Arabidopsis thaliana: one gene and its partners. The protein of the gene in region 1 interacts with the protein of each later gene in a pairwise test. Each region holds a gene or a part of one and is shown in the gene's direction. Other genes may lie near its edges. The genes, in order: AOX2, AT1G54540 and AT3G22060.

Region 1 (6,604 bases):
GCTAGTTACTTCCTGAGGACTCAACAGAAATGTCCCGATAACCATTACCTGTTCGAAAATTAAAATGGTAGATGAGAAAGGAGTTATCTCCTAACAAACTTCCAAAGCCAAAGAGCTCAAAAATAGGAAGAAACAGAGCAGAACAGCAGAAAGAAAGTACTGTTCCTAAACGTATACAGGCTTACTACTTGCAGAAAGATTGATTATCAAAGGTGTTATACGAAAAAAAAATCTTCATTTAAGTTTGGCAAATTGGATTAGCCAAAGACCATCTTAACTGAATGCTACACCACAAAACCATTTTTTCAAAAATAACACTAAAAATTACCTCAACTTCTGAGTCTGTCTGAGTCCATTTGGGCCAAAAGTCGATCATAGTGAAGCGCTGATCCTCGGACAGAGAAGGACTTAAGGAAGACCCAGCTGCTGCGTTTTCACATTCAACAGAAGTCCATGCAATACCTCCAGATGAAGATTGCATCTGCAAGTCTTCCATCTCCCCAAGTTCTTTACTAACCCACCGAGAGAAACTGTCAACCTTTTTCAAACTATCCTCTTTTTTTAACAATGCTTTTCTAAGAGGTAGTGTTTGATTTGCACTTGCTTCATATATAAGATCCTCGGGGCCTAATTTAGGTATATATGCTGCTTCATTATTTGTGAAAGGAGCTTGGAAACTACTAGACTGTTGATCTTGACTACCAAGAAGACTGGAAAATGTCCCAAAATTTTCATGTGCTCCTTGCCCAAATAAGGCAAGATCAGTAGCATCAGTCATTCCAGAATGCGAATCCATGGGCCATTTTTGCAATGGCACGCTTTCCTGAACAGGAGTCTATAGAGAAGAGAAACTCAAAATCAGATATTTTCAAAGAACCAACATTCATGATGAGAAAATTCATGCTTGAATGATTAAGTAAACAAATTAAACAGTGGCACCATAATACAAACATAGGCACAAATCCTACTTAGATTTAAAATGAATAGCTTAGCTATAAGCAAGCATATATCACCTGCCAATTTACTTGACTTTGAAGAGGATTTCTAAGATGCTCTGACGTTAACAGGGAACCTTTCTCTGTTTTCCCTTCCATGGGGATCAAACCAAAAGTAGAAGGCTGTGTCTGAGTCAACGGAGCATTATAAGGTAGATTCTGGTATCTTGCCAATGAATTCTCAAAGGAAGCATCCCATGCTGGGACATCACCTGATCTTTGGGAGTTACTTCCTTTGACCCTGTTCCCATGAGCTGACGTCCAACCATCTCGATTTCCTAGGAAGAGAAGACAATCTCAGCAAACATGCAGGAATTTGGTAAGGCAAGGAAGCTTGTAAAACAGAAAGCAAATGAAGTACCCAAAACAGAGGTTGTATTGTAAGAATTGATTGTGCTAGCATTCTGATGATGCATAATCTGAGGAACAACAGTTTGAGGTTCAGGATTTTGTTGCAAACTGGAACTTGCTTGACGACTATCCCCTGCGTCAAAATGATATTAGTTTGTGTTGAAGCAGAACCACGAGCAGCAATACAATCAACCACAAAGTCTCATCACTGAAAGATCTACACTCTTAAACAAAAAGATACTAAAGCAGATTATATAAGAGAGAAATTATATACCAGAATCAGCATCTTCACATAATGGTGACAATATGCTGGATCGGGTTGCTGTGGAATCAACATTTACAGAACCCGTGCCACTCAGAGAATTTGAATGGTTTTCTTTAGTTCCACTGGTACTCATTCGGTTACCCTGTATAATAGCATGACGTACAATATAAGATGACTATAACAAAACCACACATAGGAAAGACAGCATCCACTTAAAAAGGAAGATATAGTGTTGAGCGATGGAAGTTCATATTTTAAGAATATATTAGTACAGTACAAAACAAAAGCTATACCTTAACCTCCAAGTAGTGAACGAAAACAATGTGCATCAGATCCCTGTATCCATGTAACACACAAACAGTGGACATGAGCACTAACACTGAAAAGTGACAATAAATGAAGAAAAGTACCAACAAGCACATTTCATTCCAGAAGATAGGGATTTTAGAGATCACGTGAAATGCCTTTGGTTCAGTCTTGTCTTGTATAAACATTATCCTCGATTTCATCTCACAACTTAGAAATTGATGTTTTATAGCAGAATCTCGGAAATTATAATAATATTCCTTTCTATAGCCCTTCTAGCTCATTTTCTGCTAATACAATAAAAAGGCCATTCCCAGGACACTAGCAGACTACCATGCACACTTTATACAAAGCACATAAATGCTGAAAAACTAACGCTTATGATACTAAACAGAGCAAAACATATGAAATGTGGACAAACATAGATAGACTCACTGTTCAAGCATCCAGTAGCACCGCCTCTGGAAGTTCTCATTATCTTCTCCATGTGCATAGTAACAATGTAACACATCAATGCTTCCTACCTGTGTATACTTACACAATCTTATTACTCTCTAACATTGAGATGTTGCATTATCAGCTAGAAAAATCAGTAGTAAAACCAAGGAATTGGTTTCAAGGTCATTGCATTAATCTGCACTAATATTTAACGAGGACACATAAATAGAAATATTAACCTTCAGCTTTTCGTGAGCCTCTTTCACTGTTTTCCCATCTTTCTTCTTCCTCCAATTGTGCCCGTCTTTTCGGAAATATCTGAGCACCTTCCTATCGAAGAGAAAGAGTGAACCACCTAGAAGAGCAGGGAATTTCTGTTAATTAGAGAAGACAAACCGCAATAAATTATTGTCAAGGCACACAACACGCAAAACTTCTGAACTATTCAGGACTAACAGGATAAACGGGGGAGTGAACACGTCAAGCATAAAGTTCGTTAAAGCAAGACAGAAATAAAACCCAAGCTAATGTAACTTATTCAGCATCTATTGATTGTACAGCTCAAAAAATAAGAATATATTGCAAACAAAAATGAAGAAAATCAGCAAGAAACATACTGGGTGGTCGGTTGGGAGGCTCTGACGCAATATGAAACTTCTGATGATTCCGAAGAATTTCACAAATCTCAGCAGGTCTCAGCCACCTGTGTTGTGCTTCTGACAGCAATTGCTTGATATCTACAAGTTCATAAAAGGGTAAGAAACACATTGATACTACAACTCTGTAGCTAAACATCCACTAACACTCTCTTGCACTAACCAACATCAATCAAAATATCAAATGTAACAGAGCAATACAACTTAAGCGGGAACAACTAAGAAGCAAAATATAAATCGTAATTCAACAAGCTAGAAATCCTTCCCTTCACTAAAATGCAACAAAACGAAAAACTAGTAATGATCAGATCCAAAACAACTAAAAAGGAGTACAAAACACGAAAAGGAAGATAGCAAAAACCCTAGATATGGCGAAATGGTAGAGAGACCTAATCGAGGAGCAAATCCGAAAGATCCGCGATCCGCCATGGAACATAAACCCAAAATCCACCAGAGATAGATCTCTAGCTGTCGCAATCACAGAAAAAAAAAAATCAAACGAACCCTAAATCGATCTAGGTGTATGAAGTGAGCTTGATAAGCTCTTTAGAATTTTTTTCCTCTTTTCGAGCTTTCCAGGTTGTGAAAGCGAATCGATGATTACTTTTTTTCCTTTTTTCCTCTCTATTTTCTGGGGGAGGACGAAATCGGAAGGAAAGCGCCGATATGGTGGAGGTTGTTTTATAAATTTAGTGAACCAAAACATTTTTATCCAATACAAACCTTACACGTGGACACGTGGATGAAATTTTTATTCAATGTGTGTACTTTTGCTAAATTGATTCATGAATGTAATTATAATTAATGTTCCTTTTAGGAACTTTTCTTAAGGAGACAATCTATTAATCCGAATTAAACCAAACCAAAAGATATTGGACCGGACAGTTCAGTCAAGACCAGATTCACGTGCGCTCTGTCTGCTGAACGCCACTTCAAGATTCGGACAAACTTAAAAAATGTGCATTCGTTTTTTTAAAAATAGTTATCTTAAAAGTAAAGCAACAGTTGGATATGAGCCACGTGTATTCAGCAGTATTCGCCGCGTATCAGCTGATAACGTCATTTTTTATTTCCTTCTTGTTTCCCCTACTTACACTTTCTTTCGAGAAAAAACAGAGTTGAATCATTTTCTTTCAGTCAGAGAACAAGCCTCTTATCTGAGAAGTGAATCTATAAGTATACGAGAGAGTGTCGTAAGATGAGTCAACTCATTACGAAAGCAGCTTTACGAGTTCTGCTTGTCTGCGGCAGAGGAAACTGTAACATGTTCGTGAGTTCTGTTTCCTCCACCTCTGTTATGAAAAGTCCGTATGAGATAACGGCACCGATGCGAATTCATGACTGGTGCGGCGGTTTTGGCGATTTCAAGATCGGCTCTAAGCATGTGCAAGGTGTGCATATCTGTAGATGATCCTCATACAACCTTATAACAATTGTACATGATAATTAGGATTTGTATATTTCTAAAATTTGAATAGGAAATTTTAACTTGAGGTGGATGGGTATGAGTTCTGCATCGGCGATGGAGAAGAAAGATGAAAATTTGACGGTAAAGAAGGGTCAAAACGGCGGGGGGTCAGTAGCGGTTCCAAGTTATTGGGGAATAGAGACAGCAAAGATGAAAATTACTCGGAAAGATGGATCGGATTGGCCTTGGAACTGTTTTATGGTAAACTTATACACATCCCAAAGTTCGTAGACAAATTAAGCACTCTTTTATATGTAGTAGATATATGACTTAAGTATATTTTGAACAGCCATGGGAGACTTATCAAGCAAATCTGTCGATAGATTTGAAGAAGCACCACGTTCCGAAGAATATCGCCGACAAAGTCGCTTACCGGATTGTCAAGCTCCTCCGTATTCCCACCGATATATTTTTTCAGGCATGACTGTAATTTCAAATTTTAAAATGAAACGTTGATTCGTTTAATATGTTCATTGGTTTATTTAGCTGATTCGGTTTGGTTTGGTTTGTAATTTTGTATGCACATATTATCCTACCATGATTCACATATATACATACGTATGGATTCACTGTTTCACTTCACATGCTAATGTTTTACATTTTTTGTTCCTTAATGTTAAATATATGTTTGGTCAGCAGAGACGATATGGATGCAGAGCGATGATGCTAGAGACAGTAGCTGCAGTACCAGGAATGGTTGGAGGAATGCTTCTTCACCTAAAATCAATCCGAAAATTCGAACATAGCGGCGGTTGGATCAAAGCATTACTCGAAGAAGCAGAGAACGAGAGGATGCATCTAATGACGATGATGGAGTTAGTCAAACCCAAATGGTACGAGCGTCTTCTAGTGATGCTTGTTCAAGGAATATTCTTCAACTCTTTTTTCGTTTGTTACGTGATTTCCCCGCGGTTAGCTCATAGGGTCGTTGGATATTTAGAGGAAGAAGCTATACATTCTTACACCGAGTTTCTTAAAGATATCGACAATGGGAAGATCGAGAATGTTGCCGCGCCCGCGATTGCTATTGATTATTGGAGATTGCCTAAAGATGCTACGTTGAAAGATGTTGTAACGGTGATTCGTGCTGATGAAGCTCATCATCGAGATGTCAACCATTTTGCTTCTGTGAGTCTAAAACAACAACCCTTTTATTTTTTTTCCAAAACTCCCGAGTTTCATACATTTCTTCGGGTCCATTTCGGTGATATTAAAATAACAAATGATATAAGTAGTAGAATCAACGACATTTGGTGTGTGGATACATACAAGTTCATAGTTTTTAATATAAATCAATGAATTTTAAAAATCTGTGGATTTGTTATGTTGTGTGGTGTTTTTGAATTGTTAATATTGTGAGTTATTTGCAGGACATTCGCAATCAAGGAAAAGAGTTGCGAGAAGCAGCAGCTCCGATTGGTTATCACTAAACCAATTTCAAAAGAGTATCCTACTTGGAGTTTTTCTGTTTGTTTTTTTTAATGATTTTGGATATGAATTTGTTTGAATGTGCTAAAATATGTTTTAAAGGTGTTAGAGATGTACCGGTGTTTGTAAATTGCAGAATTGTTTTGGTAAAAATGTTTCAGACTATAATAAAATTGCGTCTCAACCGTCCCAATCGCTGCTGAACCGATACGAACCAAACTCGGTATCATCCGGTTCGATTATCTTCTTTTTTTTGTGTCTTCGTCAAGGGGTACAAATGTAATTAACAACAACGTCAAGCTTTAAAAAAAATGTCCCCGTATCTAGTAGATTCCATTGTTTCAGAAAAGCTTTAACCTAATTTCACTTCGTCTCTCTCTCGCGCTCCCAATTTCTCCGCCGGCGGGAAAACCATGTCGCACTTCGGAAGGTCAGGTCCACCGGATATCAGCGACACCTACTCACTTCTCGTCCTTAACATCACCTTCCGTAATCTCTCAAGTCCCTATTTCTGTTTCTCAACCTCTAATCAATTTTCGTGAACTGGGGGTTTCTAAGAGATTAGGTTTTGTTGTTATGTGTAGGTACGACTGCTGATGATCTCTATCCTCTATTCGCAAAGTATGGAAAGGTCGTTGATGTGTTTATTCCCAGAGATCGAAGGTCCAATTTCTTCTTCTTCTCCGACTGAGGAATT
Region 2 (5,570 bases), on another chromosome or scaffold:
ATTACCTCCTTTGACTTTCATAAGCATTCATAAACAAGTTTGAAATGGAATCAAATTGTTTTCCAATGGAGCTGTCATTGAATTGGATATAATGTCTAAGACCATTCAGTAAGCCCGAACTTTGCAAGAACTTTAAAATTGACCAATGCTAACTGAAAACTATCGTCTCGGATTTATAAATAGTAGTCACTCTCCTTCATATTAATTATAATTCAAGTCTTGCAATTTATGTAGCTGATCCCTCATGCATGCATTTGTTATAAAAACTTTGTTACTCTCTATAGATTAATTCCTGAAAACCCTAGATAAACTGTTCTCTGGTGATCTTTAGAACTAAAAGCAGTCTTGTTCAAAGCAAGAAACAAAAAAATCAGCCTTCATAGAAAATGAAACTTCTATCAACTATTTCTTCAACCTAAAAGCAGTCTTGTTCAACGCAAAAAACAAATAAAATGTTTAAAGAAAACGGACTAATCTTGCAGTTGCACTAAACTTGGAACATAAGAAGAGCTCACAAGTTGGCAAGATTGCAGCTGTGAATTGAAAACTAGTTCGATGTTGACAGCTTTGAAGTATCCACTATCTCCAACGATGCAAGCTCTCTGGTAGTACTGACAGGTCTCACGTCCTCTATATCTGTTTGTACCGAAAAGCACAGCGACCTTCTTCTCCTCATCGAAGAAAAAGCTCGTAGCATAAGAGTGAACAAAAAAGTTATCCGGTAAACCATTGATTAGTGTCATATCAATTCTCAAAAAAGTGGTCCATGATACTGCACTGGGATCAATCTTAGTCGAAATACAAATCTCTATTGTGCCAAATCTGTTGAGGTGGCTGTATAACACAGCGAGTTTCTCATTTCTAACACAAGATAGAGTCAAATATTCAAAACGACGAGATGGAGGTTTAAACAGCATAGGCAAACGTGGTCCCTTTCGACCAAAAAAGTAAGTATTTCCCTTCAAAGACACGCTATTGTGACTAAACAGTTCATGCCAATCTATATCAATATCAAGAACCCTCCATGAATCAGAGCTAAAATCGTAAACATCAATAATGACGTTTCTTGGACTCCCCTCATAAAGAAACCTCAAAATTTTGTGGTTACGGTTGTTGTCGTATCCAAGAGCAAACTTGTCATATCTGTGGAGTTTTTTTCTTGGTTGAATCAATTTCGTCTGCCCTAAATACGGATTCCATACCATAACACTCGAGTTGTCTTTGGCGATGCATAACAATAAGCCATCACAGTGATAGACTTGAGATATCTCGACTTGATCAACTTTATTAGGTATACTTATTTGCTTTATAGATAGATCAATCAAATCTTCTTCGCTACGGATTCCTTGAAGATCTAATCTCAAAGAACAAACCCTAGAATCTGTAACCATGAACTCCAAGAACTGATTCTTTGCTGCTGCTTTTTTACCTAAGATGTCATATTTCGATATAGCGTTCCACTTTTTACAAGTAGATCTCACTGCTCTTAGAGATGTCAATGGAACCCTAGAAAATATTTCTCTTACCAAATCATCCGGTAGATCGGTTACTGTCGCCATTCTTCCTCCAAGTTTTCAGCTTTCTCCACAAGTTTAATGTCTCATTGACCTATTCGGTACCCTAATATGTTTGTATATGTGTTTTGGTTGGGCTTGTAATAAAGTTTTGCTTTGGCACAGATTTTTTAAATGGGCCTATTATTTGGAAAAAAATAAACCATCGAATCCTTAACTATATCATATGGTAAAATTACGAAATCGTTTAGCAACTGATTTTCAGTTTTACTTAAAAACTACGAAGCTCTTGATTTAGTTCGTAGAGTGCACCACCACATATTTAGTAATCTCTTTATAGATCAGATGATATGTGACTAACATAAATTTCCAGAGTAGATGAGTGATGACTATATATTAATTGGGAAACTTTGACATCTATCACTTTTACGATTCCATTTCTCAAAATAAACTACTAAAGACTTTTTTTTTAAAAGGATGCAAAAGAATCCTAAGATAGAGTGTTTTGAGAAGTCTATTAGCCCATGGAACTAGAGTTTTAGCTAGCAAAAGCATATAAATTTATGGTTAGAACATCCATGGAAGGTAACTTTGTTTGAGAGTTGTCCTCTCAAAACAACTCTCTTCCTTCATCTTAATAAGAGTATCAATTTCGAATCATAGTGTTCTTGGTGACAACGAAGTAATATTTTCTCTATCAGTACCCTTGCATCATAAAGTTTTAATAATCTATCTAAGTTCTTAGTTTCTATCTTAATAAGTTTGAATCTTTCTTCTTTTGAGATTGCTTACAAAAAAATCATTCAAGAATCAATTTATAAAACCTTATATAACTTTATAAATATTTTCTATAAAATGTATTTAAAGAAATTATAAATCCTTTTGTGGTGTTTTTGAAAAAAAAAATTAGTGATAGTTATGAAATGTATCATAAAAATTGTAGTTTTCAAATTCTTCCTCAAGAATTTGATTATACGGGTTGTTGCTGAACATAGAGATGAACAAAAAGAAGATATGTGTTGAAAACATTGGAATGTTGCCAAAGTCGTCATCCTAACTAAACCAATATACCGAATGATTTATTGTTTTTGTTTTATTATCGAATTAAATACAAAAAGATTACTGTAACTGTTGAACAACCTCTAGTCTTTCTAATATATTCTGATTAATTCAACGTTATAGGTGAGGAAGGTAAGATGTTGGTAAAAGTCATGCATGGAAACAACTTCACAAGACAAAACTTTGATATAAAATAAAGTACATATAATACATGTTGGTGCATTAGTATTACTAAATACAAAGTTGTAGATCCATGGGAGATCAACAAAAAATTCACCCGGTTCTTCAAATGGAAGCCAACAAGACGAAGACAACAACACCAGCTCCCGGAAAGACAGTCTTGCTTCCGGTTCAACGGCCGATTCCGCCTCCTGTTATTCCTAGTAAGAATCGAAATATGTGCTGCAAAATCTTTTGTTGGGTGTTAAGCCTTCTAGTCATTGCATTGATCGCGTTAGCAATTGCGGTTGCGGTTGTATACTTTGTTTTCCACCCTAAACTCCCGAGTTACGAAGTCAACAGTTTACGAGTTACCAACCTTGGAATCAATCTAGACCTCTCTCTTTCCGCGGAGTTTAAAGTCGAGATCACAGCTCGTAATCCCAACGAAAAGATTGGGATTTATTACGAGAAAGGAGGTCATATCGGTGTGTGGTACGACAAGACAAAGCTATGTGAAGGCCCTATACCGAGGTTTTATCAAGGACATCGCAATGTAACTAAACTAAATGTGGCTCTAACGGGAAGAGCGCAATATGGGAACACTGTCTTGGCGGCATTGCAGCAGCAACAACAAACAGGACGTGTACCGTTAGATCTTAAAGTGAATGCACCTGTCGCCATCAAACTCGGAAATCTGAAGATGAAGAAGATTCGGATATTGGGGAGTTGTAAGCTTGTTGTTGATAGTTTATCAACGAACAATAATATCAACATCAAAGCTAGTGATTGCAGTTTTAAGGCCAAACTCTGAGATGTTCTTAGATCTAGGCGCTTTTACTTTTTATTGGTGTTAATTACTCAATTCATCATTTTCTTATGCATTTGATTCATATTTTGGATTAATGGTTTTATTCTCAATAAAAGATTGATTTTTATTTTTTAAATTACGAGAGATTTTTGAAATTTCAAAATATTGCAAATGAATGGTTCTTTTCCGCTTAACATAATTTCTATGAAGTAGTCGGAACGAGACTCTCTTCTAGAGAGAGAGAGAGTCATTCAGGAACCGACGTGCTTACATGGGAAAAAAACCTATTGCGATCTCATGTCTTTTTCCAAGGCAATCGATCCGCACATTAAAACGACGAGAAAGAAAATTAATACTAGAAGAGGGAAAAAAACATACAAGGGAACCAAATGTCGTCATCTCAACTACAAATGTTGGCTACACTGAAAGTTTTTCAATAGAGATAAGATCTTCACGGTCGAAAGCAAAAGAGCAACTCGTAACACCTATCGAGATTATAAATTCTATTGCCCATAGCATGGAATCAACTTCAGCATGAATGGTTTGGTAGTGTGAATCACATCTATACTATTTTTTCAATGGTAAAACTTTCGAAAATTACAATAGAATTGAAATATAAAATTTCGAGAAAATTCAAACGATCTCGAGTTTAATTCATCCCAAGTAAAAAAAGAAGTAAAAATCGAAGAAATTACAATGTAATCATTATCAATTAACAACATTAATTCATGTATATAAAATTCAAACATAACCAAATTATAAATCAAATTTTCCCAAAAGAAAAATAAAAAGCTCTAAATGCTTTAAAAAATCTCATCACTTGCCTTGTTTAGATTCATGAAGAACAGCTTTCATAATCAATCCATCATTATGCACAACCATAATCACCGGCGAGTTTCCGATACCTCTCGCCATCGCCGTCAAAATCTCTGCAATCAAATCCCTAAAATTTTTTGGAACCAAATCTTCACCGAATCTCTCGAAAATCGCATTGTACACGTTATCGGTCTCGTCTCCAGGAGCGACCTCAGATTCCACAGCTACCACATTGTTGAGACCTTGACGAAGCTCCGATGGAGACAACATTCCGTTTTTGTCTAGATCTAGAATCTGGAAATAGTCGTTGGTTATGGATTCGAATGATTTTGTATCGGAAAGGAATCCGATTAGAGTTTTGCTTGTGATTACTGTTTCGATCATCGTAGAATTCTCGAATTCGTGTTTTGAGATCTGAATTTGGAAAAAGTCTCTTTGAATTTTTTTGTTTTTCTTTGATGTTTGGTTAAATGATGCTACAAGATTCGATAACGTAGTAATATGTTGCGTGCATGTTTTGCCACAGAGAATATAAGCTACCTTTTAAAATTATGAGTTTTTTTTTTTTGGTTTTGTTTTTTGTTTTTTCTTGTTGATTTTATTTTTAAGCTTGAAAATTATATGATTTTAATGTTAATTTTCTGATAACTATGTAAATGTCTTCACATTTACAGTTTTAGTTTGCATATACACCTATTTTTTTTTAGAAGATTTTGTGTAGTTAGTTAAAATGATTTTACATGTTGAGTATAACAATGAATTTTTATTTCCTTACGAAATATTGATGATATTACAAAGTTTTTAAGTTAGACAAAAGTTTTTGATTTCACAAATACTAAATGCATCATTAATGGTATCAAATTTGATTCTTAATTGCCTTCATTTCCGGTTTAGGTAACCGGTCATAGAGGTTTGTGGTATAAAAACAAAGTTATGGTGTGTTTTACACTTTACAGAGTAAGAAACTGTACCGTCTAACAAGAGATTGGTTCTATTTGGTATTATCACAATGATTTACAAAGGCCTCAAAAGTGGGTAATCTTCAAGTAGTTCCCTTTCTGACAATGCGTCGGCTTCGTTCTGCGGTGTCCATAGTACTTCTACTGCCTGCAACATTTTTGTTTTACATCTTTCATTTACTAGACTAAACCTTTCCCATGAATATGTAACTTACGGGTACAGAATCTCTTACCATTATTTTGTTTCTTGGT
Region 3 (6,113 bases), on another chromosome or scaffold:
TATTATTGATCATATCTCATCTACCCAAAAATTTCCGGATGGTTTCACACACACATCTCGTGGCGAGGCTCCAAATTTTGTCACCATCGTATTTCAATGTCGGGGCGACTCCTACGGTTCCAAGTGTCGTTCTTGCTATGCCACCCCCATCTCAGGGGTAATGTCACTTCAACATCAATATGATTTTACTCTGCATTTTACGAAATTATCAATTAACCGCCGATTTTAAACAATACAAAAAAAGACATCACAATATATGGCTATCAAGTGCCATTACTATATAGAGAACAATTGCAAAATATGTATCCAATTCTAATTTCTTTTAAATATTAAAATAATTAATTATTTCTTATAAGATATTTTAGAAACAAATGAATAGGGTTTTTTTTTATCAAACGCCAAGCATTGAAAACTTGAATCATGGCTTAAACTGAAACACAACATATGTGAATTGTATATGACAGATTCGTAGGAGATGTCAAGGATACAAGGGAGCAATTATATGGTAAGACCAATGTTTTCTCGATATTAGTACGATCAATTCTCCACCAACGATGATCGATTATGAGAATACTTTCTCTATGCACAACCAAAACAACGTTAACGAGGATGCAGAGTCGTTCAACAAAAAGACTAGGGATTTCCTCTACAATCTGATGCTGAAAGCTGATAAACCCAAAAGCCGGTAGTTATGCGGCTGGTGAAATGAGGCTTGGGACGAAAAACTTGTATGCAATGGTGCAGTGTGCTCTAGACATATTTGAATGTAAAGTTTGTTTGGAATGGAGTATCAATGAGCTTTCCAAGTGCTGCCATAGTAAAAAAGGAGCAAGATTTTTGGGTACGAGCTGTAATATTAGGTATGAGCTATACCCTTTTCTTTCGACTTAAGGACTCTTTGATGATGATGCATAACACATGAACTCTTCCAATTGTAATTTTGGTTTGTTTACTTTCCCATTTTTTTTGTTTTTTTTTGTTTTTGCCTATCTCCCACTTTGTTTGTTTGGTATTGTTTAGCTTAGCTTCCCTGCTTTGTTTGTTTAGGTCACACCTATCTCTAAAACATTATTTGAATATAAACTTCCTTATGTATCGTTTTGACTAATAGTTTTACAAGATTAGTGACTCAAAACAGAATTAACAAATAAATATATACAAATAATATCATTTTTTATTTAAAAATGAGTAGCTAGTCTTTTCTCACGTATCATGCTTATAACTAGAACTTGACAAAATACTCGTACCCGAAGAAAAGAACAGCAACGGAGGCATCAAATTGAAGCAGAACCGACACAAATACTCGAATTGATTTTTTAAAATTCTTATATCCAAAAAAACGAAACTGAATTGAAAACCGAATGAATATCCAAAATATACATGGTCTAATCAATTAATCAGTAAGCATGGAAGATGAGATAATTGCCATGATACAGTTTAGCAAAATCCCGAGAGCCAAAATCATATCGAACAAGTGGTTTACAATATGATTCTATTTTGTATTTTCTAAGAGTTTTAACATTTTTACTTTTGACTTTTTCATCGGCCCTCCCCATCTCTCGCCGAAAGATACACAACCCCTCTCTCAATTCTGTTACAAACAAGGAAAAATATTTCTTCTTCAATCTAAAGTGATCAATCAAATTTTGTAAACAAGAATATTGTTTTGAGATATATAGTTAATCTAGTTACTAATGAGACCAATCAGCTAAAAACTCCTTCTGAGTCTTCTTATATGAACAAAACAATGTACTCTTCATATTCTTTATCCAAACGTCTTGTTTCTATCCCTATCTTGGCTATACAACTCCTTCTCATACGCAGTGTCTCGTCACTGAACCTTACCAATGACTATCTTAACCACAAATGCCTCGTCAGTCAAGGGAAATATAGGCCTGGAGATAAGTACGAGGACAACCTCAACTTTCTCACCCGTGAAGTCTTATCCTATAATTTTCCAACCGGCTTCATACACATCTCTTATGGCGAAGCTCCCAGTTTTGTCGCCATCATACTACAGTGCCGCGGCGACTCCTACGACTCCAAGTGCCTCTCCTGCTATGCCACCGCCCTTTCCGGGGTAATGTCACTTCAGCATTATTAATTAGCCGTCGCATATCGAAAGAAACACCAAAAAATGTTTTCTATTGTGATTTTACTCGGTATGATTTCAAATATTTAAAAATTAAATCATCAAATCTATCTTTAACATATATAAACATGTATATCTCTTGCATGTTAAGATATATATTTGCATTGATTAGTTAAATCATTACTCAAAAAATGAAACAATCACATGTATGTATATGGCAGCTTCGTAGGAGATGTCAGAGGAACAAAGGAAGAGTAATATGGTACGACCAATGTTTTCTCTTCATTAATTCCATCAGATCATCCCCAAGGAAGAACGATTAAAGGAATGTTTTCTCTATGCACAACCCAAACAACATGATCGAGGACACGGAATTGTTCAACAAGAAAACAAGGGATTTCCTCTACGAGCTCATGCTGGAAGCCACTACACCCAACAGGACAATGATGCTTTACGCAGCAGGGGAGAAGAAGCTAGGGACAAAGAAATTGTATGCAATGGTACAGTGTGCGCAAGACATATTGCGATGAAAGGGTTGTTTGGAATGGAGTATCAATGAGCTTTCCAAGTGCTGCCACGGTAAACAAGGAGCAAGAGTTTTGGGAACAGAGTGTACTCTTAGGTATGAGCTATACCCTTTTCTTAGGAGTTAAAAGTTTGTTTGGTCGATGATGATGTAGAAGACAATCTCTTGACAACTTTCCTATTTTGTTTGGTTTTGTTTTCTTAATTTTGTTTTATTTTTGGTTACAAGTCAAAACTTTTTTGGTTTGAAATAATATAATGTATAAATCCCTTTTAAATTAGTGAAAACCCTCAAACAAGAAAAAGAACAAAAAAAAAAATTGATTTAATATATTTGAGCAGTTAAAGGGAGAAAATTATCATTTAGATAAAATACATTTAAAAAAAAAGAATTTATGTCCACACCGTACATATCTTAGTTTCACTCAGTCAAACCTTTGAATGTTGACTTTTTCATTCACCGCAATACCAAGTTCCCCTCAACTCATGGCCCTCTACTTTACATTTCTAATTTCATCTAGAAGCTTGAAATGAAAGTTGGATCAAATGGGACAAAAAATTGTTGTTTTGACATAATTGCTTCATCTTAGCCAATCAGCTAAATTGACTTCTTTTTTGTTCAAAGGAACTCTCGTGATTGGAAAATGACCAAATCCCAATTGTACAAAAATGAAAACTTCAACCCATTCTAATATTTATTAAATAAATAAATAACTTGTCTCACCACCCAAAGACCAAAATCATCTAGCCACTCTATAAAACATCCTTACCTCAACACTTCTTCTATCAAAAAAAAAAAAGACACCCTCCACAAAATATCAATTTTCTTCCAAAACAATGTCTTCATTAAAACGCATCGTTTGGTTCCCTATCTTGGCCATAGCCATACAAATTCTCTCTATACATACCGTTTTGTCTCAAAGCCAGAACAATGCGTTTCTCTTCCACAAGTGCTCAGACATCGAAGGAAGCTTTACCTCAAAAAGTCTCTACGAGTCAAATCTCAACAATCTCTTTAGTCAGCTCTCTTACAAAGTTCCATCCACCGGTTTTGCCGCCTCCTCCACTGGCAACACTCCAAACAACGTCAACGGTTTGGCCCTTTGCCGCGGTGATGCCTCCTCCTCTGACTGCCGCTCTTGTCTTGAGACTGCCATCCCCGAGGTAACCACACAATATTTACATAAGTTTTTCTACATCTTAGTGATATATATAGAAACCGCAGATTAAGTACAAAACAAAACTAGGTTATAATTAGTTTATTTACATTTCTAATGCCAATTTTTTAATTCATACCCTTTTCTTTTTTGAAACTACAATCTATAATTAGAGACTGGCTAAATTTCATTTGGAAAAATGCTATTCTATTGATAAAAAATAGTTGGAAAAAAAGATATTATATATTGGAACGGCAAGAGAAGCATAAATAGTATATCGAGTTCAATGATGGTTCTTGACGTTGGTGTCACATATGACAGCTACGTCAGAGATGTCCGAACAACAAGGCGGGAATAGTATGGTATGACAACTGTCTTGTAAAGTATTCCTCGACCAATTTCTTCGGGAAGATAGATTTCGAGAACAGGTTCTATTTGTACAACGTCAAAAATGTGAGTGATCCATCAACATTCAACTCGCAGACGAAAGCTCTTTTAACCGAGCTGACAAAGAAAGCGACTACTAGAGATAACCAGAAGCTATTTGCGACAGGAGAGAAAAATATCGGAAAGAATAAATTGTACGGACTAGTGCAATGTACGAGGGACTTGAAGAGTATTACTTGTAAGGCGTGTTTAAATGGAATTATTGGGGAGCTTCCTAACTGTTGCGACGGTAAAGAAGGAGGGAGAGTTGTGGGTGGGAGCTGTAACTTTAGGTATGAGATTTACCCTTTTGTTAAGACTGCTTGATTAGAGGTCCAAGTTAAAAGGGGGTCCAATGCCAAACACGGTCTTAATTTGTGATTATTGTCAATGTGATATGTATTGTATGTTGTTGTTTGTATAATGTGTTGAGCCAGTAAAATGTAATCTTCTCTTTGTGGGTTATTTGTACGATAGACACGATTATAGAGGCTTGACTCCTATAAATAAAAACATTCCCTTTGCCAAATATTTTCTAGACTTGAACCACAACCCACAGAAGCAAATATCATCGTTCATAATGCTTAGACTGTATGGCAGATTCAACTGTTTCAAAGGGAAATCTATTTGTCTACTACTTCAAATTTTAATTGATGTTAAAAACACAAAACATTTTTCAATATATATGTTTATATTGACAATTTGTGTGCCAACCATTTAAAAAAAAATAGTAAATGCAAAAACTCTTTATTTTTTTCTGTTTGTATCAATAGTTTTGAAAAATATATTTGACAGAAACCTGGAAATATACTGTATGTAAATAAATAAAAACACACCAGTAATGTGTCGTATTGCTATAAACTTGACCAAAAAATCATTAATTTTTTTTTTTTGGAAGTCGTCTTGATTTTCTAAGTTCATTTACATATATTTGTCTTCTAATCAAGTTTAGTTATGTTAATGTTTTTGGATAGAACCAAGTGTCGTTAGCTCAATTCGTAAAGATCCTACGCAAAGCTTAGAGGTCGCCGGTTCGAATGACATTTAGAACAAAACTAATGTTACATAATGTGGTTTCGGGTCTGGGATTACGGACTTCAACCCAAAACCTCCTAGATTTAAAAAAAAAAAAATGCTTTTGGATAGAAAATCTAAATTTCATCAAAGTATATATGAGAGACTCAGAAAATGTTTTACATTATGAGGTGCTGATTGGTTTGTTGACTAAAAGATTTTAAACGTCAACGGATAACTAGGAGAAGATATTGGTCACATGTGCTATGCTGAGTCATTGCGATGAAGACAGGTCAACGAAGGAGGAGAACCACGTTGCTCCTTCGCTTTTTCCCAATCCTTTCTTTGTGCGTAAGCGGCGACCACTACCACGAAAATCCCGCATAATATTCTGAAAAAATTCTCACAGTTTTCGGATAAAATCGTACACTCAGGACAAAAATAAGAATGCAAGATACAAATATAGAAACCCTATATGAAAAGGACAACATTAAACTAAATTCTAATTCTATTGATATTAAGGACCTATATTTTCAAAGTTTAAAGGACTGCTCATTAAGAATTACGAAACAATAAAATTGTTTGTCCCCCATCATTGGTCAAATCAAAGATAAGCCTATACGCACTTCCGTATACTTAAAGTTTGACTTGATAACTATACAAATCATGTTCAAATGGTAAGGTTGCTGTCACTCCTCGAGTCCGAAACTTAGGGATCGGTCAACAGAGCTAGTGTTAATCAGATGTGAATCTCTTATAATAAGCATAAAATCAAACTATTAGTATTTATTGAATTAAAAACTCAATGATTTGTTCTCCAGAGCTAGATATTTTAATGGTACAGAGAGGCAGACGTTTTTCTTTTGGTAATCAAGGTCTGACCCATGTAATCTAGAGAT

What was found.
Region 2: the proteins of AOX2 (region 1) and AT1G54540 interact in a protein complementation assay, tested with the Arabidopsis thaliana proteins (one large-scale study listed by BioGRID).
Region 3: the proteins of AOX2 (region 1) and AT3G22060 interact in a protein complementation assay, tested with the Arabidopsis thaliana proteins (one large-scale study listed by BioGRID).

What each region holds. Positions count from the first base shown.
Region 1 is NC_003076.8:25,683,270-25,689,873, reverse strand, and holds AOX2 (alternative oxidase 2), read left to right. Parts: upstream 1-4,142; 5' UTR 4,143-4,209; coding exon 4,210-4,402; intron 4,403-4,489; coding exon 4,490-4,680; intron 4,681-4,768; coding exon 4,769-4,897; intron 4,898-5,118; coding exon 5,119-5,607; intron 5,608-5,849; coding exon 5,850-5,909; 3' UTR 5,910-6,104; downstream 6,105-6,604. Other genes in the region: AT5G64220 (Calmodulin-binding transcription activator protein with CG-1 and Ankyrin domain), read right to left, coding at 1-48, 329-835, 1,014-1,273, 1,357-1,479, 1,621-1,753, 1,905-1,947, 2,353-2,441, 2,595-2,710 and 2 more; SC35 (serine/arginine-rich splicing factor-like protein, putative), read left to right, coding at 6,321-6,396, 6,492-6,570. UniProt on the Arabidopsis thaliana protein: Catalyzes the cyanide-resistant oxidation of ubiquinol and the reduction of molecular oxygen to water, but does not translocate protons and consequently is not linked to oxidative phosphorylation.
Region 2 is NC_003070.9:20,365,678-20,371,247, reverse strand, and holds AT1G54540 (Late embryogenesis abundant (LEA) hydroxyproline-rich glycoprotein family), read left to right. Parts: upstream 1-2,736; 5' UTR 2,737-2,826; coding exon 2,827-3,546; 3' UTR 3,547-3,695; downstream 3,696-5,570. Other genes in the region: AT1G54550 (F-box and associated interaction domains-containing protein), read right to left, coding at 471-1,559; AT1G54530 (Calcium-binding EF hand family protein), read right to left, coding at 4,360-4,743; AT1G54520 (myelin-associated oligodendrocyte basic protein), read right to left, coding at 5,374-5,466, 5,552-5,570.
Region 3 is NC_003074.8:7,767,611-7,773,723, forward strand, and holds AT3G22060 (Receptor-like protein kinase-related family protein), read left to right. Parts: upstream 1-3,288; 5' UTR 3,289-3,454; coding exon 3,455-3,781; intron 3,782-4,095; coding exon 4,096-4,527; 3' UTR 4,528-4,747; downstream 4,748-6,113. Other genes in the region: AT3G22053 (cysteine-rich repeat secretory protein), read left to right, coding at 1-157, 465-505, 616-689; AT3G22057 (cysteine-rich repeat secretory protein), read left to right, coding at 1,736-1,939, 2,021-2,080, 2,391-2,651.